Linked DNA regions of Stegostoma tigrinum. The protein of the gene in region 1 binds, or shares a complex with, the protein of each later gene. Links are inferred from orthologs where the notes say so. Each region holds a gene or a part of one and is shown in the gene's direction. Other genes may lie near its edges.

Region 1 (8,190 bases):
CAACTTTGTATTCAACGCTGCCAGCGTGTTTTTTATTCTAAGGGTTTCAGCTTTGTTGGGACTTTGACAAAATCCTCTAGGAAGTCCATGTATGTCACATCAACCAAATTACTCTCTATAACTCTCTATGCTAACGCAAAAAAAATGCAAGTTAATTTTTCTTTCATTCACAAAATGTGGGCATCACTGAGTAGATCAGCATTTACTGCCATCCTTCATGTCCTTGAAAAGGCAGTGATGGGCTGCCTTCTCTAACCACTGAATTCTATGAAATGCAGGTAAATCTATAGTGCTGCAGGGGAGGTTGTTGCACAACTTTGACCAATGACAATGAAGAAACAATGATATAGTTTCAAGTCAAGATGGTTCATGGCTTGGAGAGAAACTTGAAGGAGCCTTGGTAAGTTACTGCAGTGCATCAGTGCCACTGCACTACAATGTTGGATGGAACGAATGTTGTAGATGGAGTGCCAATCAAGTGGGCTGTTAAGTCTTGGATGATGTTGAGATACACTCATGAGTATTCAACCACACTCCTGACTTGTACCTCATATTCGATGTTTTGATGAACCAGAAGGCAAGTTACTTGTTGCAGAATTCACTGCCTCTAACCTGCATTTGTAACCCCAGTACTTATATGGCTGGTCCTGTTGAGATTCTGATCAAAGGTATCCTTAAAAGTATTGATAGTAAAGGATTCAACTAGGGTAATGGCACCGAATGTCAAGGGGTGATTGCTGGATTCTCTCTTGTTGGCATTACTAAACAGCCCAGCCTGAACGCTGTCCACATTTTGTTGCATTTAGACAAGGATTGCTCCAATATGAGGCAGTTAAGAATGGTGCTGACCATTGTGCAATCATCAGCAAACATCCCCACCTCTGACCTTATGATGAAATGAATGTCAATGATGAAGCAGCTGAAGATGTTTGGGCATACGACAAGATCCAGAGGAACTTGGGAAGGGCTCTTGAGGCACAATGGTAGAGCCCCAACCTCAGAGCCAGTAGGCCTGGATTCATGACCCACCTGCTCCAGAGGTATGTGATAAAACACCTGAACAAGCTGATTAAAAATATTTATCCAGAACACCTACTATGATATTCTGTGGCTGAGATAATTGACCTCCAACAACCACAACTATCTTTCTTTGTGTTATGTGTGGCTCCAAACAACAGAAAGTTTCCCCCATTTACTCCAAGTTTACTAGGACTCTGACACCATATTTGGTCAAAATGTTGTCTTCATCATCCAGCATGATCTGACTTTAACTAATCCATCCCAACTTTCCTTAATTAACATGCATTTAAAGTGAACATCAAATTTTGTCCTGGTTACTTCCACAGGATTAAACTGAGGAGTAGTTGCAGCATTCATCCTTACATCTTTTATTGAACTGGGTAACTGGAACACTGAGGAACAATGACTTATAACGCAACTTCAAACTGGCTCAAGTCTCACTCTCGAACTGAGAATAGGTGGCAACCCCAAAACAACACCACACTAATTCAACTCTGTAGAGAAATTAATGTGGGTTACAAGTTCAAATCCCAGATTTGAGCTAAAACCTTCTGTCCTGGCCAACTGTTGGTACAACAAATCACTGTACAGATTTTCTCATCATCATTTAGCTGACTGTCGAACCTTGTTCTGCGAAACACTGGCTGCTACTTTCCCACAATGTACTTCAAGGTTTGAAAGGGGCTTTGAGACATCCCAAGGTAATACTAGTATGGTATTAATATGCAACTAACGAAACATTTCCAGAAAGGCTATGATTCTTGTACAAGCAGGTGGAAGATAATTACACTTAAAGACAATGGCAGCCTTCTATTAAATTCTAAGCCTCTCAAAGTCCCTGAAGTGTTGTTATGAGGTCACACACAGCCGTCTCCTGAACAGACCAAACTTGCGTTCAAAGGATTTTGGGAGATTCGTTTTGGCAGGGAAAAATAATCATCAGAAAAGAAAAGCTCTACTAATGGCAGAGGATTCAAGAAACTCCCTAAAAACAAGGAAAGTACTTGAAGATGTTCACTATTTAGTAACCTGGTAAACTACTTTTACAGGCGAAGCTAGGACTAACTTATAACAATAGGAACTGGTACAGACCATTCAGGCCTGTTTCACCATTAAACGAAATCATGGCTTATGTGTGGCCGAACTCCACATATCTGCCTTTGGCCCATGATAATAAAATGTGAGGCTGGATGAACACAGCAGGCCAAGCAGCATCTCAGGAGCACAAAAGCTTTTGTGCTCCTGAGAAGCTGCTTGGCCTGCTGTGTTCATCCAGCCTCACATTTTATTATCTTGGAATTCTCCAGCATCTGCAGTTCCCATTATCTCTGCCTTTGGCCCATATCTCTTAATACCATTGCTTAACAAAAATGATCCATCTCAGATTTAAAACTGACAACGGATCCTACATCCACTGTTGTTTGTGGAAAGAGTTCTAAACCTCAAATCACCCTTTTGTGTAGAAGTGCTCCCTAACATCTCTCCTGAATTGTCCGGCTCTAATTTTTAGACTAATCCTCCAGTTCTAGTTCCCCAAGCAGCACAAGTAGTTTATCTTTATCCACTGTCTTTTCCTGTTAAAATGTTGAAGACCTTCTAGATTACCTTCTAACTTCTAGAGAAAACAGGCCTAATTTGTAAGATCACTCCTCAAAACTTAACCCTGAAGTCCAGGTATCATTCTTGTACACCTATGTTTTACTCCCTCCACGGCCAATACACCCTTCCTCAGGGGTGGTGCCCTGATCTGCTTACATCAGGCTGCAATACTGTAAGCAGGATCTAACCGGTGTTTTGTACAACTGCAGCATAACCTCTGGTTCCTTGTACTTCATTCCTCTAGATAACAACAGCCAGTATTCCAATCAATTTCGTAGATTATTTTCTGAGCTTATTTGTGACATTTTCAAGATCTAAAGTTCAGCACCATTCGTAACTCCTCAGACACTGAAGTAGTCCAAGTTCAAATGTAACAAGATTTGGACAATATCCAGGCCTGGGCTGATGAGTGGCAAGTAACATTCACACAGCAGAAATGCCAGGTAATGACCATCTCCAATAAGCAAGGCCTAACACTGTCACTTGACTTCATTGGTGTTAGAAGGGAATTCCCCAATAACAACATCCTTAGGGTTATCATTGACCAGAAACTCAACCGGACTCACCACATAAACTCAGTGGTTACAAAAGCAGGTCAAAGACTAGGAATACTACTGCAACTAACTCACCTCCTGACTCCACAAAGCCAATGGTGTGATGGAATGCCCTCCACTTGCCTGGATGGGTGCAGCTCCAGCAACACAAGAAGTTTGACTCCATTCGTGATAAAGCAGCCTGAATGATTAGCACCATATCCAGAAGCATTCACTCCTTCCACCACTGACACTCAGTACCTATTGCTGCTACTATCTACAAGGTGCATTGCAGAAACTAACCAAAGGGAAGCAGATGCTTTGTGGAACATCTACGCTCGGTTCACACTAAACAACTGCACGTCCAAGGTGCAAACCATTTCAACTCCCCCTCCCATTCCTCAGACGACACATACATCCTGGGCCTCCTGCAGTGCCACAACGATGCCACCAGACGGTTGCAGGAGTAGTGATTCATATTCCGCTTGGGAATCCTGCAGACCAATGGAATCAATGTGGACTTCACAAGCTTCAAAATCTCCCCTCCAACTACCACATCCCAAAACTAGCCCAGCTCGTCTCCACCTCCCTAACCTGTTCTTCTCACCTATCCCTTCCTCCCACCTCAAGCTCCACCCCCATCTTCTATCTACTAGCCTCATCCCACACCACTTGACCTGTCCATCCTCCCTGGTTTGACCTATCTCCCATATAACTCCCCACCTACACTTACTTTTACTGGCTCCATCCCCACCTCTTTGACCGGTCTGTCTCCTCTCCACCTATCTTCTCTTCTATCCATCTTTTATCCACCTCCCCCATTTCTGAAGAAGGGTCTAGGCCAGAAACGTCAGCCTTCCTGCTCGGCCTGCTGTGTTCATCCAGCTCTACACCTTGTTATGTCAAGCCTTACAGTAAGTGAAAGATAAACATAAGAAAATGCCATTACTAAAAACTAATTATAAACAAAATATAAATGAGGAAGGGTCCCAACCCGAAACATCGACTTTCGTATTGCTCTGATGCTGTGTTCCTCCAGCTCCATCCACACTGTTGTGTCTAATACAATGTTAATACACAATACGTCACATGCTACAAGTCACTGCGCGTGGCGACACAAAATACAACGCTTTTAAGAGAAAACATATGAAAGACCAGCAGCAATAGAATCCATTAAATTGTCGGCCTACTATATATATCCAAACTGTTCAATAATTGCTTTTGTTCTCCCAGAGAAGGAAATCTGGCGTCCTCACTCACAGCAGCCTGTATGTGGTGCCAGTCCCTCACCAACGTAGCTGACCTCTGAAATGAACATCACTTGCACCCAACCCCGACGCCAAGGTGACCGGGGATGGATAATAAATGCAGGCGTAAAATCAAAAAGACAGTGGTAGCGGGGAAGAGAAGAAAGGGAAGACGCCATTGGCGACGGCTATCACCTCCTCCAGATGAAGTTGCGATGCTCGCTGAGGGGCCAGGTGCAGGAAGCAGTCCTTGATGTTGCCGAGTCTGAGTTGCACGCAGACGGCCCCGGCAACCAACATCCTGCCGCGCGCTGCCAAAGGGCACAACTCGCGCCGCTTACACCGTTAGGCGCAGGATTCCACAGATTCGAACACAGACCGCATTCGCCAGATCCAGCACAGCCAACTTCCGTCAGTTTCCGTTTCCGAAAATGACCTACCGACGCAAGATTTCTTCGATTGACCTCTGACCGACCTATCACATCCCGAGCTCAACGGGAGGGCACGGAGGAGGCGGGACTCCATCCGGGGCCGGTGCCAAACGATCTAGTCATCGAGCGATCGGTACTCGATTGCGATCGTCTCTTCTTCGATCAAAGATGGCTGTTCGGGTTCCTGAGGTGTTCAGACACCATCGGCAGGAAAACGTCTGCTTCACGCGACCCAAGTACCGAGAGGGTCGGAGGCTGAGGGCTGTCAAAGTAAGTGCTGCTTCGGATGTAGGTGAAGGTTTGTGAAACAACCCGATCCCGTCCTGCAGCTCATTGATTGCGAGGAATGCAAAAGTCTTTCGTTGAATGCAATGTTGTTCTCAATGAGGATACAACATGGCTGTCTGGTGGAAAGATGCGAATATTTTGGAGTTTTCTTGGATCTTTAGAAGACGTTTATCGTTTTCTTGTCGACATTGAGCGTGATCCAGATTTCCACTTTATGGTCGAAAACATTTAATAATTTACTGCTAAATTATCTAATTTCAATGGCAAAATATTGCGCTCGATTACCTCACCAGAAAGAATTCTGTCCTTCCAATTCTTTCCTTTGTAATTATAAACAGTTCGGTTATGATCTAAACGTTAGCGGGTATAAACAGGTTATTTAAATTAACCCTGTAAACTCTAGAATATTTATGATTCTTGGCTAGAGATTCACTCTGTCGACTGAAGTATAATAATTCTAGCAGTTCGCTTGAACGGTATTCTAATTTAAACACTGACTCCCTCCACCACAGTGACAGTATTACATACAAGATACATTACAGGTGCATTCAAGTAATTTCAATAACACCTTACAAACCCATGAGTTCTACCACCTAGAAGGGCAAGAGCCGCGGTTACGTGGGAAACCACCACCTGTAACTTCTCCAAGCCGCACTCGGGACCGTATTTCGGTTCCTTTAATTTTGCTATCAAAATTCTGAAACTGATTTCCTAACACTACGGCGAAATAAGTAAACCACGTGGACTGCAGCAATTTGAGAAGATAGTTAAGCATTTGTTTGTTTTTCAAGAGCAGTTAAGAACAAACAACAAATTCCTAGCCAATGTTCACATGTAATGGCATATTTTAAAATTCTGCATTTTAGAACTGAATGACGGCTTCCAATTTCACCACCACCTTTCTGCCATACAGCTCATTTGCAGATCTCCTATATCTTTCTTTGTCTTGGAAATACCACAGTCAGTATGGCTATGCATTGGATGACAATGTCATCCCTGCAAAGAGCTTTAGGACTTCACTCACCCAACAGACCTGTTTCTGAACCTGAACAACAATTTGTCAATGCTGTAGAGGACCACAACATTCAAGAGCAGGAGACGTCTATCTGGCCCTTCAAAGCTGTTGTGTAATTAGTAAAATCATGGCTGATCTGATTATGGTGTCAGCTTTACTATTCTGTTTGCAAACCATAATCCTTGATTCCCTTGTTTGTCAATATTCCATTCAGCTCAGCCTTGGATAAGTTCAGTGAGCCATCCTTCACTGCTTTGTGGAGAAGATAATTTGTGATCTCCTTATGTTAGGAATAGAGCATAATGATGAACACGTAGAATTAGAAACAATTTATTGAATCCAAGTAACAATTGCAAAATAGTTGATTTAAATGCACAAATTGTAGTAATTGGATTTAAATACTATTACAGAGACGTGGTTACAGAGTGACCAAGATTGGAAATTGAACATTTGGGATTTAGGAGGGATGGGCAAGAAGGACAAGGAGATGAGATAGCACTCTTAATAGAAGACAGGATCAGTAGATTAGTGAGAGGGAACCTTGGATGAAAGGATGAAGATAGAACAGAGAACATAGAAAAGTACAGCACAGTACAGGCCTTTTGACCCACGATGTTGTGCCTTGGAATAACCCTATTCCAAAAGATGTAGAATCAGTTTGGGTAGGGTAAGGAACAGTAAGGGGCAGCACAATTTTTTTCAAGTTTTTTATAGATCACTAAATTGTACAGGTGATACTGGACACAGTACAAATCAGGACATTACACTTGCGTGTACTTGTGGGTAATAAAGTAATAATGGATAATTTCAGTTAACATAGAAGCTGTGTGGAACTTTTACCCTAAACCTAAGGTCTATCTAACCTCCACCAGTACCTTATACTATCTATCGTCCATCAAATCAGCACTAATGCTCTGGAGGATTCCTGGACTGTGAATGAGCTGGATTTCTGGAGCAGTTATATTGAGGAGCCAACTAAAGAGCAGCCCTTGGTGTCTGTTTCCCGAACAAGGGTCTTGGGAAGTCAGAAATTAAATTTAGTATAGATAGTATTTAAAAAGTTAACTTGATTTAAGATTGATGAATTTATGACCTTCATCCCAAAGTATTGAAGGATCATTAAATATCAGAGCAGAATTTGGCCTTTTAGCCCATTGAGTCTGCTGCAACATTCAGTCATAGCTGATGTGTTTCTCAATCCCATTGTCCTGCCTTCTCCCTGTAACCCTTGATTCCCTTAGTGGGATCACTGTGGGAAAAACTATGGGATCTACCACTCTAAAGCAATAATATAGCATTGATGATTTTGAAATCACTGGCTTTGTTTCCCCCACATTCATGTTTGACAATGGTCTAGGTGTACACAATAAATCTGGAATCGAAGCACCTGCTAATACAGGGAGTGCCAGCTGTGGGAGTCATGAAGGAGTTGATTGAACTGTTTGCATTATATGGAACCATTGAAGAATATTCTGTATTGCATGAGTACCCAGCTGAGGAATTCACAGAAGTTTATCACATCAAATACCAAAGATTACAGAGTGCAAGGTAATGAATTAGAAATTAACTAGAATAACTTTTTCAGTTTTGGAGAAATAATATCTTTCATTCTTTCTTTGTACAGTAAACCTTTTACTAACTGGTGCCCTATGGGACCAGTAGTGTGCCAGTTGATCAAGAGGTCCACATAATCAGTATAAAAACACACACTAAGTAATAGAAATGTATTGGGGAAAAAAAACACATCGCTGCTGCACTTTACATCATAAATCACTTAAATAATAATCCACTTAGCCCTGAATAAAACTTACAAGCAGAGAGCCTTCCCACATGCACCCTCAAATGACCTCTTGGGCAATGCAGAGATCCCAATAAATCAATAAACTCTCAGTATTTTAGGGATATAATTTTTGCCGGTTTACCGAGCGTGCCGATTCTTAAGGTGCCAGCTAAAACAAAGTTTGCTATATCTTTTTATTGGAGTTAAAGATTTTTGAAATTAATTCACTTTGGCCAACCTCTTTATAAAGTAACAAGTTATCCATTTTATTCTTACC
Region 2 (8,075 bases), on another chromosome or scaffold:
GCCTTATGTTTAACTACTTCACATAGAGTCATAGACTTGTAAAGCATGGAAACAGATGCTTCAGTCAATTCAAACCTGCCGACCCAATATCCTAAATTAATCCAGTCCCATTTGCCAGCATTAGGCCCATATCCCTCTAAACCCTTCCTATCCATGTACCCATCCAGGTGCCTTTTAAATGCTGTAACTGTACCAGCCTCCTCCACTTCCTCTGGCAGCTCATTCCATACACACACCACCCTCTGTGTAAAATAGTTGCCCCTCAGGTCCCTTTTAAAGCTTTCCCCTCTCACCTTTAACCTGTGCCCTTTAGTTTCAGACTCCCCTATCCTGCGGAAAAGACCTTGACTATTCACCCTATCCATGCCCCTCATGATTTTCTAAATGTCAGCCCTCAACCACTGATGCTCCAGGGAAAATAGCCCCAAATTATTCAAACTCTCCCTGTAGCTCAAAGCCTCCGACTCCAGCAATATTCTTGTAAATCTTTTCTGAACCTTTTCAAGCCTTACACCATCCTTCCTATAGCACTGAGACCAGAAATGAATGCAGTATTCCAAAAGTGGCCTCACCAACGTCGTGTACAACCTCAACGTGACCCTCCCAACTCCTACACTCAATGCACTGACCAATAAAGGTAAGTGTAACAAATGCTTTCTTCACTATTCTGCCTTGATGCAATGTTTGTGTGATGATGTCATGATTTTAAAAGGTTATTTTTGTTCTTTATTTGAAGAGAGGCTGCAAGGCAGAGAGACCGAAACGGCTACTAAGGACAGCTTGAGTAAACAGCTTGTGAGGCCTTGGATTTTTTTTTTAAACAGACTGAATGGGTGTGGCTAGCTCTCATAGATCTACATTTCCAGGTTTTGATTTCTCATTTGCATAAGAAGCCTTTGGACTCTCAAATGAACTGGAAGCTTCAGTGAATGACTCCTAGCTGCTATTCTCTCTGAATTCTCTCTTGATGTTTTTCCTCCTGGATTGGAGAACTGCCTGTGAGAATCTGTATCTGAATTGTCTTTTTGCCAAGGGGGAGTGTTTATGAGTTGTTACTATATTGGTACAGTTAATTAGTAAGAGTTACTGCATCTGTTACTCGATTATGTTTTCCAATCGTTCGTTTGTTTGCGTTTTAACTACAGCGTTTAGATAAATCATGTTTTGTCTAATGTTGAGTAGTTTGACCAGTTGCTTTGTATCTGGAAAGTGACATTTCACATCTATCTTTAAGGTAAGAAAAATTTAGTGTCTAGGCTACCTTCTCAAAATATTTTGAGGTCGTGTGGTCTGGGCCATAAGATTTGTGATTGAAGTATTGCAGATCATGTTTTATATACGTTTGCTTCCTCTATAAATCGAGCATGGTCAACAGGGAAGCTTATCACCACAACCCCATCTATAAACAAAGTTCTGCACAGGTCTCATTGATGATGCAATGATTTGAGACACAACAGGACATAAGGGATGATAAAATGGACACTAGAAATGAGGAAACAGACATAAATCAGAAACAACTTTAAAGTGAAAAAAAACTTTAAACGAGGACTCCCCCTTGGAAGAATATGCTGATAGGATAAGGTGAAAAGAGGTGCAGCATGGACAGTTGGGCTGCAAGGCCTGTTACAGCAAAATATATACAAGAAGGGTTTGAACACTGACGCAAGTAGACTCATACAGCATTGAAATAGACTTTTTGGTTCAATCCATCCATGCCGACCAGATATCCCAGTCTGACCTAGTCCCTTTCGCCAGGGAGGTGATGGCTTAGTGGTATTGTCGCTGGACTGCTAATCCAGAGATCCCGATAACGTTCTGGGGACCCGGATTCGAATCCCACCATGTCAGATGGTGGAATTTGAATTCAATAAAATGTCTGGAATTAAGAATACCCTGATGATTGCTGGAAAACCCCATCTGCTAGACTAATGTCCTTTAGGGAAGGAACCTGCCATCCTTGCCTGGTCTGGCCTACATGTGACTCCAGACCCACTGCAATGTGGTTGACTCTTAACTGTCCTGTGGGTCAATTAGGGATGGCCAATAAATGCTGCCTAGTCAGCACTGCCCTCATCCTGTTAATGAATAAAGAGCATTTGGCCTATATCCCTCTAAACCCTTCCTATTGATGTCCCCATCCAGATGCCTTTTAAATGCTGTAACTGTACCAGCCTCCACCACTTCCTCTGGCAGCTCGTTCCAGACACACACCATCCCCTTTGCAGAAGCCTTCAACATGCCCCTGGTCATGAGCAGGGTGATAAACTCAGAGGGTGTGTGAGGGGGAGAACATATCTGTAGCAGATTTCCTGTGACCTGTAGCCAATATTATCTGCTTGTGAGGGACCTGGTTTCTAACTTTTTATATTTATGGGTTTAGACATTTCATTGGACTCTACTGTTCACACGACTTCAGGTCTACACCTTGTTCACTATCTTCTAACACAACTCTACCTTCTGAATTGTTCTATTGTACATGTCTAAACATCTCGCAGTCACACTCTGACATACAGCATAAAGTAACACTCACGATAATCGCTCCACCCTTTGTAACAGTGACGTTATTAGATCATTTGAATCTTTACTCCCTGATGTTCCATCTCCCCTGACGGTGTAGATTATGTGTAGTGGAGATACCTGTTCTTGTTTTTCCAAGTACCAAGCAAGAGATTGAGGGTTTGCAGGCTGCTTGAAAATGAGGAAACTATTAAGTTCAATTGAGCTTGCTCAGTACATGCACAAACACACATGTACTGCTCTTCCAGAAATACTCTCTTCCTCCCAGACAGGGCCCAACTAACTGAGTACATCGAGTCCTGCAACCTCTGTTGCTCATACACTATACAGCAGTGTGTCTTCCCACTGATTGTAGAGTCACACACTCATAACGTCATACAGCAAGGGAACAGACCTTTCGGTCCAACCAGTCCATGCCAGCCATAATCCCAAACTAAACACGTGCCACCTGCCCACTCCTGGCCCATATCCCTCCAAACCTTTCTCATTCATGTACTTATCCAACTGTCTTTAAATGTTGTAATTGTGCCCACATCCACCACTTCCTCTGGAGGTTCATCCCACACACGAGCCACCCTCTGTGGAAAAAAACTTATCCTTTATGTCTTTTTTTTTAAAATTTGGCTCCTTTCACCTTAAAAATGTACCTCCTAGTCTCAAAATCCTCATTCCTCGGGAAAAGACAACTGCCATTATTATACATACTATCTATACCCCTTAGCGTCCCACTTGATCAGGGTTAAAGGAAAAGAAACATATTGCATCTATATAGCTCCTCTCACAATCCCATGGAGAGCCAAAGGGCCTTCTGACAAAATAAGGAGCCTTGAAGCTGTTGTCAGCAGTCCCTCGATTTGGAGATGACGTCCAATCAGAATTGGGAGCTTCTACCATGGGTGCTCATGTGACTGAACAGGCCGGTTGTCCATCCTCACGTCTTTAAAGGATGACCCGTGAGGTCGGAGAATGCAGATTGCGAAGGATCTGCTTCCTTTCCTCCCCTCTCAACTGTCTCTCATACTGGCAGAAAGAGTGGCGCACCATCTTAAACGATGGGTAGCGAGCTCCTCTCTGTCATTGTCTTTACACTTCAAGGAAAGTGTCAGTGTCTTTATAGACTCCGCACTGATGCCATCATTTCTTTAGAAACAGTTCAGGGAGGATTCAACAGGATGAGATTGTCTTGTGAGCAAAGATTAAGCAGATAGGGGCTGTATACACTGGAGCTTAGAAGAATCAATGATGATCTTGTTGAGACATACAGCATTCTTAAGGAGCAAAAACAGAAGCTTCTGGAAAGGCTCAGCAGGTCTGACTGCATCTGTGAAGAAAAATAGTGTTTTCGGTCCATTGGCTCCTGAAGAAGGGTCCTGACTCAAAACATCAACTTTCCTGCTCTTTCTGATGCTGCCTGGCCTGCTGTGTTCCACCAGCTCCACACTGTGTTAACTTTGACTCCAGCATCTGCAACTCTTACTTTCTCTGAGACTCTGAAAGCCTGTGTCTTCAAATAACCCTGTTGAACTATAACCTGGTGTCATGTGATTTTTGACCTTGTCCACCCCAATCCAACACTGGCACCTCCACATCAGTGAGTTTTGAGAAGATTTGTAGCTCAGGTTCTATTTATAAATAGAAAGCGGGACATAACACCAGCGCTTTGTCGGAGGCTCACTGATGATGTTACCTAGAATGGTGACGAAATGTCTGAAAACGAACCTTCCAGCTCAGCGAGCAAACTCACATCCAGAACCTCCACATCAATTGTAGGCTGATGTGAGCAGGAATTTCTTCTCTCAGAGGGTTGTGAGTTTTTGGAATTCCTTACCCAGTGAGCTGTGGGGGCAGAGTCCTTGTGTATATTTAAGGCAGAGATAGATAGATTCTTGATCAATTGGGTAATCAAGAGATACAGGGAAAGGGAAGGAATGTGGATATGAGGAATGTCAGACTAGCCATGATCCTACTGATGGAGCAGGATTGAGGGGTTGAACTGTCTAATCCTGTTCCTATTTCCGATGGTTACCCAGATGACAGCACCCCATCTTTTGCCAGTCACTTTAAAGCATCAATTAAATCTTTTCAATACCAGACCTAGAATGGGTGTTCAATTTCATTAAATGGCAATGTCCCTTTAAAAACACCTGGCTGTTTGAAGTTGTCATTGCGGAGGCTAGTCGGAGCTGCTGGGGGTTGAAGTCCATATGCTCGCCTCCGCTTTGTTAAAGGGGCACTGACGAACTACAACACCCAGAATGCCCCCGGTTGTAGTCCCGAACGTTGCCTTTCGGACCGGATGAACGTGACGCGGAAACTGCATCTCCCGGCGATCATTGCGCCAGCAGGAAGTTAGTCAACCCCACTTCTGGTGTGAGGCGAAGCGCGGTCGGTTGCGGTTGAAGGAGTGAAGAAGAGGCGACTGGGGGGACATCTAGCACCATGTGAGTGAGAGGTGGAGGGTGATTGAGAGGGGAAGAGAGACAGGGGTAAAAGAGATGCTTCCCCTCTCATCACCCGCTCCTCTGCCGGTAACTCGGGCCCTTTCGCCGGCGTTGCTAAGGCCTGAGGCCTAGCCCGCGCGGGCCCGAAGCCTTTCCCCACCGAGGTGATGGTGGGCACAGATTCTCGGCTCCTACCCTTCCCTCCCATCGCTCAGGGCGGGAGGGGAAGGAGAGGGAGCAGTAGTTCCCAGATTCGCATTCCCTTTCCGCATCTATTACCCCATTTTACTGGTTCTTCAGATACCGGTTCTCACCCGCCGCCTCCCCCTTCCCTGTCCCTCTCCACTCTGACAAAGCTGTTCAGAATCCTTTGAGAAGGTAACAGGGCAAGTTAGACGAAGGTGAACCAGTCGATGTGATCTATTTGGATTTCCAGAAAGCCTGTGACAAAGTGTTGCACAAGAGGCTGCTAAATAAGAGCTCATGCTGTTAGGGGCAAGGTACTGGCATGGATAGAGGATTGGGCTGACTGGCAGAAAGGGTAAAAGGAGCAAATTACTGCAGATGCTGGAATCTGCACTGAAAATGACAAATGCTAGCGATCACAGTGCTCAGACAGCATCTGTGGAGAGAAAGCAAGCTAATGTTTTGCGCTTGCTCTCTCTCTATCCACAGATGCTTTCTGATCCACTGTGACCCTCAGCATTTATTGCTTTCAGTAGGGATAAGGGAACTTTTTCAGGATGGCCCTCCAAGTCTGTGCTGACATGTTGTGTCCTTCCATACTAAAGCTGCCTTTACTTACAGGATCTGTATCCCTCTACTCCCTTCCTAATCATGTATTTGTCCAGGTGCTTTTAGAAAGTTGCTTTTGTGTCTGCTTCTGCCATCATCTCTGACAGCGCATTCCACCCTTTGTGTGAAAAACTTGCTTGGCACATCTCTCTCAAACATCCACACGCTCACAGACATGCACCTTGAATCTGTGTCCCCTAGTAAATGACTCCTCCATCCTGGAAAAAAAATCCTCATCCTTTCCGCTTTATCCATGCCATTCACAATTTTATAAACTTCTGTCATGTTGAGCTTCCCTCCCGCCCCAACCATCTCCTGTGTTCCAGTGAAAACAAACCCAGTCTTTCTGACCTTTCTTGGCTAAAATCTTCCACACCAGGCAAACCTGGTAAATCTTTTCTGTACCCTCTCCAAAGCATCTACATCCTTCTGGCAGTGTGGTGACCAGAACTGTGTGCAATTTTCCAAGTGTGGCCTAACTAAAGTTCTATAGAGTGCAGCATAATGTACTCAACCTTATACTTAATGCCCCTGCCAAGGAAGGCAAGCATGCCATAAGCATTTTTTTGACGACCTTCTGTACCTGTGCCGCCACCTTCAGTGACCTGTGTACCTGCACGCCTCGATCCCTCTGCATAGCAATCCCGTCCAAAAGGGTTCTGCCATTCACTGTATAATTTCCATCTGTACTTGGTCTTCCAAAATGCATCACCTCACATTTTGCTGGACTAAACTCCATCTGCCATTTTTCTGCTCGTGACTCCAACCGACTTATATCCTGCTGTATCCTCTGACAATCCTCAGTTATCTACAACTCCACTAATCTTTATATTATCCACAAACTTAGTAATTAGACCAAACACATTTTTCCTCTAAATCATTTATGTAGATCATGAACAGCACATGTCCCAGTCGTTCTTTTAAGGCTAACATGCAGGTTCATTTGCCAGTTAAGAAGGCACATGCACTGTTATCAATCATTTCAAGAGGGCTAGAATGGAAAAGCAGAGCTGTATTGCTGAAGCTTCATCAGGCTTTGATTAACTGCATCTGGAATATTGTGAACAGTTTTTGGCCTGTATCTAAAGGAGTTCTAAGGTGGCCTTGAGCAGGTCCACTGAAGGTTTACACGAATGATCCCAGGGATGAAGGAATTGTTGTACGAGGAATGGTTGACGACTCTGGATTTGTACTTGACAGAGTTTAGAAGGATGAGGGGGGAGTTTGATTGAAACTTACAGAATGCTGAGAGGCCTGGATGAAGTGGATGTGGAGAAGATATTTCCTCTAGTAGCAGAGACTAGGATACAAGGGCACAGTGTCAGAGTGAATGGATGACCCTTAGAACTGAGATGAGGAGGAGCTTCTTCAGCCAGAAGCTGGTGAATCTGTGGGACTCATTGCCGCGGAGGGCTGTGGAGGCCAAGTCATTGAGTGTATTTAAGACAGAGAAAGATGGGTTGTTGATTGATAGGGGTATCGGGGTAATGGGCAGAAGGAAGGAAAATAATGTTTAGGAACGTATCAGCCACGTTTGAATGGCGGAGCATACACGATAGGCCGAATGCCCTAATTCAGCTCCTATATCCTGTGGCCTTATGGCTGTCACTGCCCCATCCCCATCCATCTTGCCTCACTGCTTCCTCCTAAATTTGTGCTTTCATCACCTTGTTCAAATTACTCAAATTAACTTACCTTATCCAAGCATTTCCTATACTGCTGTTAAGGTAGGGTATTTACACGGTTTCTTTACTGCAGTTGTTGGAACTAGATATCTAGTTCCAGAGTCCGATCCACTGGGTTTAATGTGGTCTGGCATGTTCATTAGCTATTTCTAATTGGGAACCTGATCAACTCATTTTCTTGAAGGCATACAGAGTCTAGCCCGTTCCCCTGACCCGCTAACATGCTCTTTAATGGCAAAATTTACATTTATATAGTGCCTTAATGTTGTAACTGACATACAGAATCTCTCATGAGCATTATAAAACATTGTGACAGTTGTTCAGTCAAATGACCATACATTTGGTCGAATCTTTAAGGGGCATCTGAAAGGGGGAATAGAAAGCCCTAGAGGCGAAGAGCTTTGGGAAGTGAATTCCACATCCTGGGGCCCAACCAGCCGAAGGCATGGCTGCCAGTGCTGGACTGACTTACATTGGAGAAACTCAGAGCTGGAATTGAATGAGGGCAGGTTGTTGGGTGAGAGGAGATTACAGGATAAGGAGGGGTGATGCTATGGGAGGATCTGAAATCAAGGACGAGAATCTTGAAATCGATGTGGATTGATGCCAGTATCGATCAGCAAGCATTGGGTTGATG
Region 3 (8,594 bases), on another chromosome or scaffold:
CGGTGGTATTTGTCGAGGTTTGTCCCGAGCAGCTCCGTGACGCGGGACTCCGTGCTCTATGAGCTGTTTCCCGGGACGCACACCGAGACCAACATCAACTGCGCCTGGAGGACCATCAATGCGGTGAAAGATGCTCTTTGGTCTGCCTGCAACTTGCTGGTCTGCCAGCTGAAAGAACTGACCCCGACCGAGTGTTGCAGACTGGAGCACTCCAAGGCCCAGGACTACGTGCTGAGGGACGCGCTAAAGCTTGGGGCAGCCGCCACCAAGGCGCGGTGGGGAAAGACCACCGTATGAAACCCCTCGTCCAGAAAAGGGAAAAGAATCCTATCTGGTAACTGGGCCCAGCTGGCGCCTTCCCCAACTGGTCAGGGAGCCAACGGGGACTGTGCGGGGTGACGACTGCCGGGGTATTTTCTTTGCTTTGTTTTTTTCTTCTTTGTTTTTTTTCCTTTAGTTGATGTACGTACCCCCTGGGTAACCCAGAGCGGCTTGCATGACTGGGTAGGTATATAAATATGTTTTATTTTGTACATCTTATGAATAAAGTACATTTTTTCAAATAAAAAAAAGTGACAAAAGGTCTGAAAACTAACCTTCCAGCTCAGCGAGCAAACTCACATCCAGAACCTCAACCTGAGCTACAAATCTTCTCAAAACTCGCTACTATGAGGCCATGTTATGTACGATAATGTCAACACTCAAGTTTTCCTAAAAGCATGATCTATTGCTCCTGTTCCTGCTTTCTTGATTAAAACTAAAACAGAAAATATTAGAGAAACTCAGCAGGTCTGGCAAAGAGAGAATGAGTTTGCCTTTTTTTCAGTACTAAGGGGTTGGGAAGTTATGGCTGTTATGCTGTTGATAAGATGGAGTGGGAGGGTGGGTATGGTGAGCGAAATATAAAGGCAGTGCTAATGATGATAAACGACAGATTAGGATGTAAAGTAGATGTTAATGATAACTTTTAACAGGAGAAAACAGGTCAGCTCTGCTGGGAGCAAGGCCAACTAAACATCAGCAAGACATGGGGAAGGGTGGGGATGTAATCAGAATGAAAGGTGATGTTCATGCTCTGAAGCTGTTGAACTTTCATTGTTAGTTCCCAAGTTGTAAAGTGCCTAAGTGGAAAATGAGGTGTTGTTTCTTCACCTTGTGTTGAACTTTGCTGGAATGCTACAGCAGGCCTAGGATGGAAATGGGAACAAGATAGTTCATTGAAATGGCAAACAACTGAAATGTCTGGGTCATTCTTATAGACAGAGTGGAGCTGATCTGTAAAGTGGTTCCCCATTCTGCATTTTGTCTCGCTAATTTAGAGGAGGCCACATGGTGAGAAGTGACGACAGTAGACTAGTATGAAAGAAATATGAGTGAAATGATATGTCACCTAGAAAATGTGTTTGGGATCTTAGGGAGTGTAAGACTGTAAGGAGAGGAGAGGTATCAAGGCAAGAAGCACCTCATGGAAAGGTGCCCTGCGGGGAGGATGGTGTGTAAGGAGTCTCTGAGTAGTGAACCAGAGTTCACAGAGGGAACAGTCCATGCGGAACACTGAAGTGTGGGGAGGGGAAGAAGAATTTGTTGGTGGCATCCTTCTAGATGTGGTGGAAATGGCAGAGAATTTCCTCAGTGTGGAGACTGGTGGTGTGCAAAGTGACAACATGGGGAATCTTTTTGTCTGTGAGAGAAGCAAAGTGGTGAGGGCAAAAGGACAGCAAATGGGTAACACACATCTGAAGGCCCTGTCAACCATGTTGTGGGGCAATTCTCGACTGAGAAAAAAATGAGAAAAGTTTGGAGACACATCAGTGGAAGATGGCTTTATTGAAACAGATGCTGCGGAGATGGAGAAACTGAGAGAATAGAATGGAATCCTTGAAGGAAACAGGGTGTGAAACTGTAGTCAAAGTAACTATGGGATGAGGTGGGTTTATCGTGGATATTGGTGGACAGCTTGTCTCCAGAAATAGAAACCCCGTGAAGTCAAAGAAGGGAAATGGAGAGTCAGAGTTAGACCAGGTGAAGGTGAGAGGAGGACAAAAGTTGGAAGCAAAACGGGTTAAGTTTCCAATTCTTAATGAGTGCAGGAAGCAGTCCTGATGACATTATCAATGTACTAGAGAAAGAACTGTGGAAGGGAGATTGAGTGGGACAGGAGCAAGGAATGTTCAGCATATCCTACAAAGAGACAGACAGAGAACTTATTTATTTGGAGTAAATAGTAATTCCTGGTAGGTTCAGAAACGGATCCATATTTTATGTTAACCTGAGTCTGTCAGACAGGTAAATTTGGGACTTTGTGTACTTTGATAAAATTGTCAACTTTTGTGATGACTCTAGAAATAGCAAGCCATGATTTGTAGCATGTGTCCCAGTGTGGTGTGACATGTATAAAACACAGTCTCTTGGATAAAGCATCAGTTATTCCTTTGCTGCATCATATTTCTTTGGTCTAGCATCAATGTTCTTTTCTCCTGCTATGCTTCTGTGAACATTTTTCTACATTAAAGGTTCTGTGTGAACACAGTATGTTGTTACCAGAAGGTAATTTATAGAGGCACAGAGCACAAAAACAGGCCCTTCAGCCCAATCCTCCATGCTGACCAAGTTTCCTATATTGAGCTAGTCCCATTTGCTTGCATTTGGCCCATATGACCCTAAAACGTTTCTATCCATGTATCTGTCCAAATGTCTTACATTCCATATACACAACTCCCACTGTATGAAAAAGTTGTTCCTCAGGTCCCTTTTAAATCTCTACCGCTCTCATCTTAAACCTTTGCTCTCTAATTTTGGACTTCCCTACCCTAAGGGAAAAGACCTTGGCTATTCACCTTATCTGTGCCCCTCATGATTTTAAAAATCTTTATAAAAGACCTCTCAGCCCCCTTTGGTTCAGGGAAAGATATCCCAGTCTATCCAAGCCACTGAAATTGCAGACTGCTTGAGAATCTGCGAATCAACTGAAAAGGCTATTTTATCCAGGGGTGCTTCACTACATTCGATCAACATTTATAATTACAATATATATTTTGTGCCATACATATAGCCCTGAGAGATTTTCAGCATCTTAGTTTATAGTAGAGTCAAAGAATTGTACAGGTGTACATAGAGCTGGATCCAACTCATCTATGCTGACCAGATATCCTAAATTAATCTAGTCCCATTTGCCTGTATTTGCCATATCCATCTGACTCCTTCCTATTCATATATCCATCCAGATGCCTTTTAAAAGTCATAATTGTACCAGCTTCCACAAGTTCCTGTGGCAGCTCATTCCATACATGCTCCACCCTCTGCATGAAAAAGTTGCCCAATAGGTCTCTATCTATGCCCCTTATGATTTTTATAAATTTCTATAAGGTCACCCCTCAGCCTCCAACGCCCGAATGAAAATAGCCCCAGTCTACTCCCCCTCTAGCTCAAACCTTGCAACTCTGGCAACATCCTTGTAATTCTTTTCTGAACCCTTTCAAGTTTCACAACATTCTTCCTATGGCAGGGAGACCAGAACTGCACACAGCATTCCAAAAGTGGCCTAACCAATGTGCTGTACAGCTGCAACATGACCTCCCAACTCCTGTACTGAATGCGCTGAACAATAAAGGCAAGCATACCAATGTCATCTTTACTATCCTGTCAACATGTGAATCTACTTTCAAGGAGCAGTGAACTTACACTCCAAGGTATCTTTGTTCAGCAACAATCCCCAGGACCTTACCATTAAGTGTATAAGTCCTGTCCTGATTTGCCTTTCCAAAATGCAGCACCTCATATTTATCAAAATTAAACTCCATCTGGCACTCCTTGGCCCATCTGATCAGGGTCCTATTGTACTCTGAGGTAACCTTGGTTGTCCAATTTTGGTGTCACCTGCAAACTTATTGAACATACCTCCTACGTTCACATCTAAATCATTTATATAAATGACAAAGGACAGTGGACCCAGTACTAATCCTTATGGCACACTGTTTGTCACAGGCCTCCGGTCTGAAAAGTAACCTTCTACCACCACTCTCGATCTCCTACCTTCGAGCCAGTTCTGTATCCAAATCGCAAGTTCTCCTGTATTCCACATGATCTAACCTTGCTAACCAGTCTAACTGGGGGAATGAGAAACTTTTAGGCAGAAACTTTCGCCCTTTCAGTCTTTCGTATATTTCTGTTTGCTGTCCTGAACCTGAGTGTTCAGTTTACAACAGTGACCAAATTTCCTGGATTTTTTTGGACTATTCAATTTTGGACCAGATTGTCCCTTGTCCCGGATTGGCTGTTTTCAGAACAGTCCTTATTCCGCATTTTTCATCATAGAATCCAGGTAGTGCAGGAGCAGGCCATTCAGCCCATCAAGTCCACACTGACCCTCTGAATAGCATCCCACTCAGACATATCCCATCCCAGTAACTCTGCATTTCCCATGGTCAATCCACCTAACCTGCACATCTTTGGACTGTGCGAGTAAACCGGAACATCTGGGGGAAACCCATGCAGTCACAGAATGTCCAAACTTCAAACAGATAGTTACCCAAGGGTGAAATCAAACCCTGATCCCTGGTGCAGTGAGGCAGCTTTGCTAACCACTGAGCTACTGTGCTGCCTAATTGTTGCAGATGTGGATAATGCACCTCCCACTGGCTCATCAACATCCCCCAGCCCAGTTGGACAGTCACCTGTACCAAAATTTCCCTTCTTCCTAACCCGAGTTGGTCACCCTGTTAGGTGCATAGAAATTATAGGCTAAAGTAGGCCATTTGTCCCCTCAAGCCTGCTCTGCCATTCAAATAATATCATGCCTCACCTGATTGCGGCCTCACCTCCACTGCTGTGCCTAACCACCCCTAAATAAACTTTGACTTGTCAGCTAAGAATCTAACTCTGCCTCAAAAATATTCGGTAATCCCACGTCCACCATTCCCTGCCAAGAGATTGCCAAAGACATCCGACCCTCTGACAAGAGAAATAAACTCTCTTCATCTCTAACTTGAAATACGAGTCCGCTAATTTTTAAACTGTATCCCCCTAGTTCTAAGATAACGAAATGTGAAGCTGGATGAACACAGCAGGCCAAGTTCTAGTCTAGTTGCAACCCTGAGACCATTAGCGCCCAATGGGTTTGAGAAATCAGCAGGAGCACTGGAGACAGGCAAGAACAAATAAAAATAATAATAACAAGAAAACATCAGCAAGCATCTCTGGAGCAGTGTGTATTGAGAGAGGTGATGCAGCGATTCATGAATCTAATATTAGGAGGGAATCATTCTGCAGTTGCCTGTCCAAGGTTGGAGCCAAGAGCCTTGGCTGGCTGATCTCTCACCTCTGCTACGTGACCCCGGAAGTGTTCTATTCGCTGGCCGGCAGTGTTGTTCCGGGTCGGTGCCACAGCCGGGAAGATGGAGGCTCAGGGCCGCCGCCGGGCCTGGCACAGCCCCGAGCCTGGGCCCGCGACCGACCGCCACCGATTGAGGATCAAGCGAGAGGGGGCAGTTGGCCCCAAGCACCGGCCCTCGAGTTCGGGCTCCTCCGGGGGCAGCGTCTCTCCACCTGAGCACTGGCAGAGCCGCTCCCCGGCCCGGAGGAAGCCGGCACCCGAACAACAACAACATTCACGGCCCGGGGGCAAGTTGAAGCGGGTGAGTTACCGAGTCAAGCCGGTAATAATAATAAAACACAAATCATTACTGCAGCAACCGTTCCCTCGCATGACAGGAACTGCAGCCCCAATTCAGCCACATCATAACTGAGGAAGAGGATTTAACTTTCACGTCAATCTCACTCTAGTGTCATTGCTAAAGAGAGTGTGTGAGTGAAAATTCAGTTCCTCGGTGAGCGCAGGAAGGAGGGGAATTTGGTGCAATGAAGAGGCAGGTGAAGTATTATTAAAAAGTTCCATTAAAGTGCATGAGGAATTGTTAATAGCAGCAGAAGGGACCTGAATGAGAGAACACAAGTTTAAAGGTGTTTGGCGAAGACACCAATACAAATTTCCTTTCATCCAGAGTGAGATCTTATACGCCGAAAAGCGCTGCCTGACAGGGTAGCAGAAGCAGATTTGATTTTCACTTTTTGGAAGGAAACTGAATGATTCAAAAGAGACATGAGTTGCAGCACTGTGACTGGTGAATGGGACTGATTGGATAGCCCTCTGAAGGTGCTATCTGGCTGAATGGCCTCCTTAGTTGTGATTAAATTTGATTCTAGATTCCTGTTTTAGTGGTTAAAAGTTAAAATGATCACCCTGGATGTGAATTGTGTTCTGTTGTGAAGCCACAAGGTTTAATGTGATAGTTAAATACAATAGTTTATAGTTAGCTTTCCAGTTCATGTATTTCACGGATAAGTTAATTTGGCAACACAGCACAGTAGTTAGCCTTGCTGCCTCCCTGTGCCAGTGATCCAAGTTTGATTCCAACCTTGTGTAGAGCTTGCACATTCTCCCCATGCCTGTGTGGGTTTCTGCCTGGCCCTCTGGTTTCCTCCTACAGTCCAAGTGTGCAGGTTAGAAGGATTAGCCATGCTAATTTGCCCCACCTGTTGAAGGATGGTTAGGCTAGATGGCTTGGTCATGGTCATCGTGAGATTATGGTGATAGGATGGGGGGGTGGATCTGGTGCATCTCTGACTCTTCGGAATGTTGGTGCAGACTCGGGCTGAATTGTCTCTATCTGCACTGTGTGGATTTTATAATTCTATGATGAAATAATAATCTCCGCTAGTTACCATGTGAAGTTTTTATACCAATTGTCTCATAATTTCAGGCCATGCCATGGCATGCAAAATTTAATTTTTCTCATTCCGTTCAGGAACGGCATGACCATTCTCAACGGGATCATGCTGAGAGACGACACAGAGACCACTCTAGTAGAAATGGGCATCGGCGCAAGAAGAACAGTGACCGAGAGCGTCACAGAGAATGTTCAGACCGGGGCCGAGGCCACAACAAAAGGAATGGTAGCTCTCACACAGAAGGTGGTACAAGTGGCCGAGACAGGGAGGCTCAGCTCCTCAGCACTCAGCAGGCCGAGCGAGAGTACTACAATGAGAGAAGGCGTCAAAACCGCAATCAGTGTCCCCTGCTCAGTGATGAGCATCCTGCCTCTGAGTCAAATAACAGCCAAGCTCATAGTGGCAACACAGCCCCGGTGAAAGAGGAGCCAAATTTTGAGCTTTCTGGTGCCCTCGTGGAAGACACAAACACCTTTCGTGGAGTGGTGATAAAATACTGTGAACCGCCCGAGTCCCGGATCCCAAGGAAACGATGGCGGCTTTATCCGTTCAAGAATGATGAGCCTCTTCCAGTTATGCACATTCATCGTCAGAGTGCCTATCTCTTGGGCCGACAGCGGAGGGTCGTGGATATCCCAATTGACCATCCTTCCTGCTCCAAGCAACATGCAGTGCTACAATACAGGTTGGTGTTTAAAAAGCTATTAATGTAAGCCTGTGGGGAGTGGACCTAACTGGATTGCTGTGCAGGGTCCAGTATGGACATGTTGGTTGAATGGTTCCCTGTGCTCCCTTAAATGACAACTTTGCATTGTTCTGACATCGGTTAGTCTGATGCTGATCCCATTGGATTTCCTGGTTGCCACCCTTCTCCTGTAGGATTGGTTTTCTTTTATTTGCTGTCCAGGTTTCTCTCTCCCAATTTCTATTATAGGAAGTAGACTGCAAAATGATTTTTATTTCCTCGATGTTCAGCAGTCTTCCCCGGAAAGGCAGTTTGTTAATATTAAATAACTACTTTAAGAAAAAAAAACTAAACAAACATCCCATTAAGAAATGAGCTTGTGGTCACAGTGATAGATTCCTCACTGAGCAGTACCTGTAAAGGGTTTGATGTTTCCTGGGACAGGGAAAGTGTCTCGGGCAAGCAGCTGCCAAAATCTAATTTATATCCTGGAGCTAAAGAAAGACCTTATGTTCCCAAGTCACCTTTCCTGGTCTTGGGTCATTGCATATAATTTTATAACCAGTCGAGCAATTTTGAAACATAGTCACTGTTGTATTTTAATAAACGCGACTGCAGTTCTTGTAGATTTAACAAGTACAGTTTTAGGGGTGGAGCAGTAAATGGGAAGCAGGCAATATTTATGGAAATGTTTGTCTTAGGGCATTAAATATGTTGAAATACTTTATAAGTGAGTGGATTTTATAGACTGATACTTTTGTGTTTGATAGGCCATAGCTTTTGTCCTATTCCACAGTCCGGTCCAAAAGTGTTTCGGCTGTCTGTTACCCTTTTCTCTCTCTGAATCCCGTTTTGAAAGTATTGCCAACACCCTTTGGTACTTCGAGGGAAGTACTTAGGTGTAATATTAAAATTAGTGCGTGCATTGATCATCTGATTTTATTTTTCTGGATTGAACAAAGTTAATGAGCAACTTTGCATAACATTTTGTGCTGGGATCAGTTTTACCAAGATTAATTTTATTCACAGTCAATTGCTTCTTGTTCTTGGTATTAATTAACCAAGATTTTTTTTTCAGTCATAGTCATTAGGGGGTTGAATGAGCAATTTGTCCTATTGAGTTCATGCTGGCTGTTTGTAGATCAGTTTGATTTCCAGACACTTTTTTTACCTCTGTTATCTT

Evidence for each region.
Region 2: rbm48 (region 1) and snrpd2 share a complex: the UniProt entries of both Homo sapiens proteins name them as parts of the minor spliceosome. The link is inferred for Stegostoma tigrinum from reciprocal best matches to the Homo sapiens genes RBM48 and SNRPD2.
Region 3: rbm48 (region 1) and snip1 share a complex: the UniProt entries of both Homo sapiens proteins name them as parts of the minor spliceosome. The link is inferred for Stegostoma tigrinum from reciprocal best matches to the Homo sapiens genes RBM48 and SNIP1.

The regions. Positions count from the first base shown.
Region 1 is NC_081355.1:77,251,365-77,259,554, forward strand, and holds the start of rbm48 (RNA-binding protein 48), read left to right. Parts: upstream 1-4,912; 5' UTR 4,913-4,998; coding exon 4,999-5,100; intron 5,101-7,490; coding exon 7,491-7,681; intron 7,682-8,190. Other genes in the region: pex1 (peroxisome biogenesis factor 1), read right to left, coding at 4,595-4,699. UniProt on the Homo sapiens protein: As a component of the minor spliceosome, involved in the splicing of U12-type introns in pre-mRNAs.
Region 2 is NC_081392.1:12,359,091-12,367,165, reverse strand, and holds the start of snrpd2 (small nuclear ribonucleoprotein Sm D2), read left to right. Parts: upstream 1-4,843; 5' UTR 4,844-4,956; coding exon 4,957-4,958; intron 4,959-8,075. UniProt on the Homo sapiens protein: Plays a role in pre-mRNA splicing as a core component of the spliceosomal U1, U2, U4 and U5 small nuclear ribonucleoproteins (snRNPs), the building blocks of the spliceosome.
Region 3 is NC_081377.1:12,589,086-12,597,679, reverse strand, and holds the start of snip1 (smad nuclear-interacting protein 1), read left to right. Parts: upstream 1-5,362; 5' UTR 5,363-5,393; coding exon 5,394-5,633; intron 5,634-6,803; coding exon 6,804-7,411; intron 7,412-8,594. UniProt on the Homo sapiens protein: Required for pre-mRNA splicing as component of the spliceosome. As a component of the minor spliceosome, involved in the splicing of U12-type introns in pre-mRNAs. Down-regulates NF-kappa-B signaling by competing with RELA for CREBBP/EP300 binding.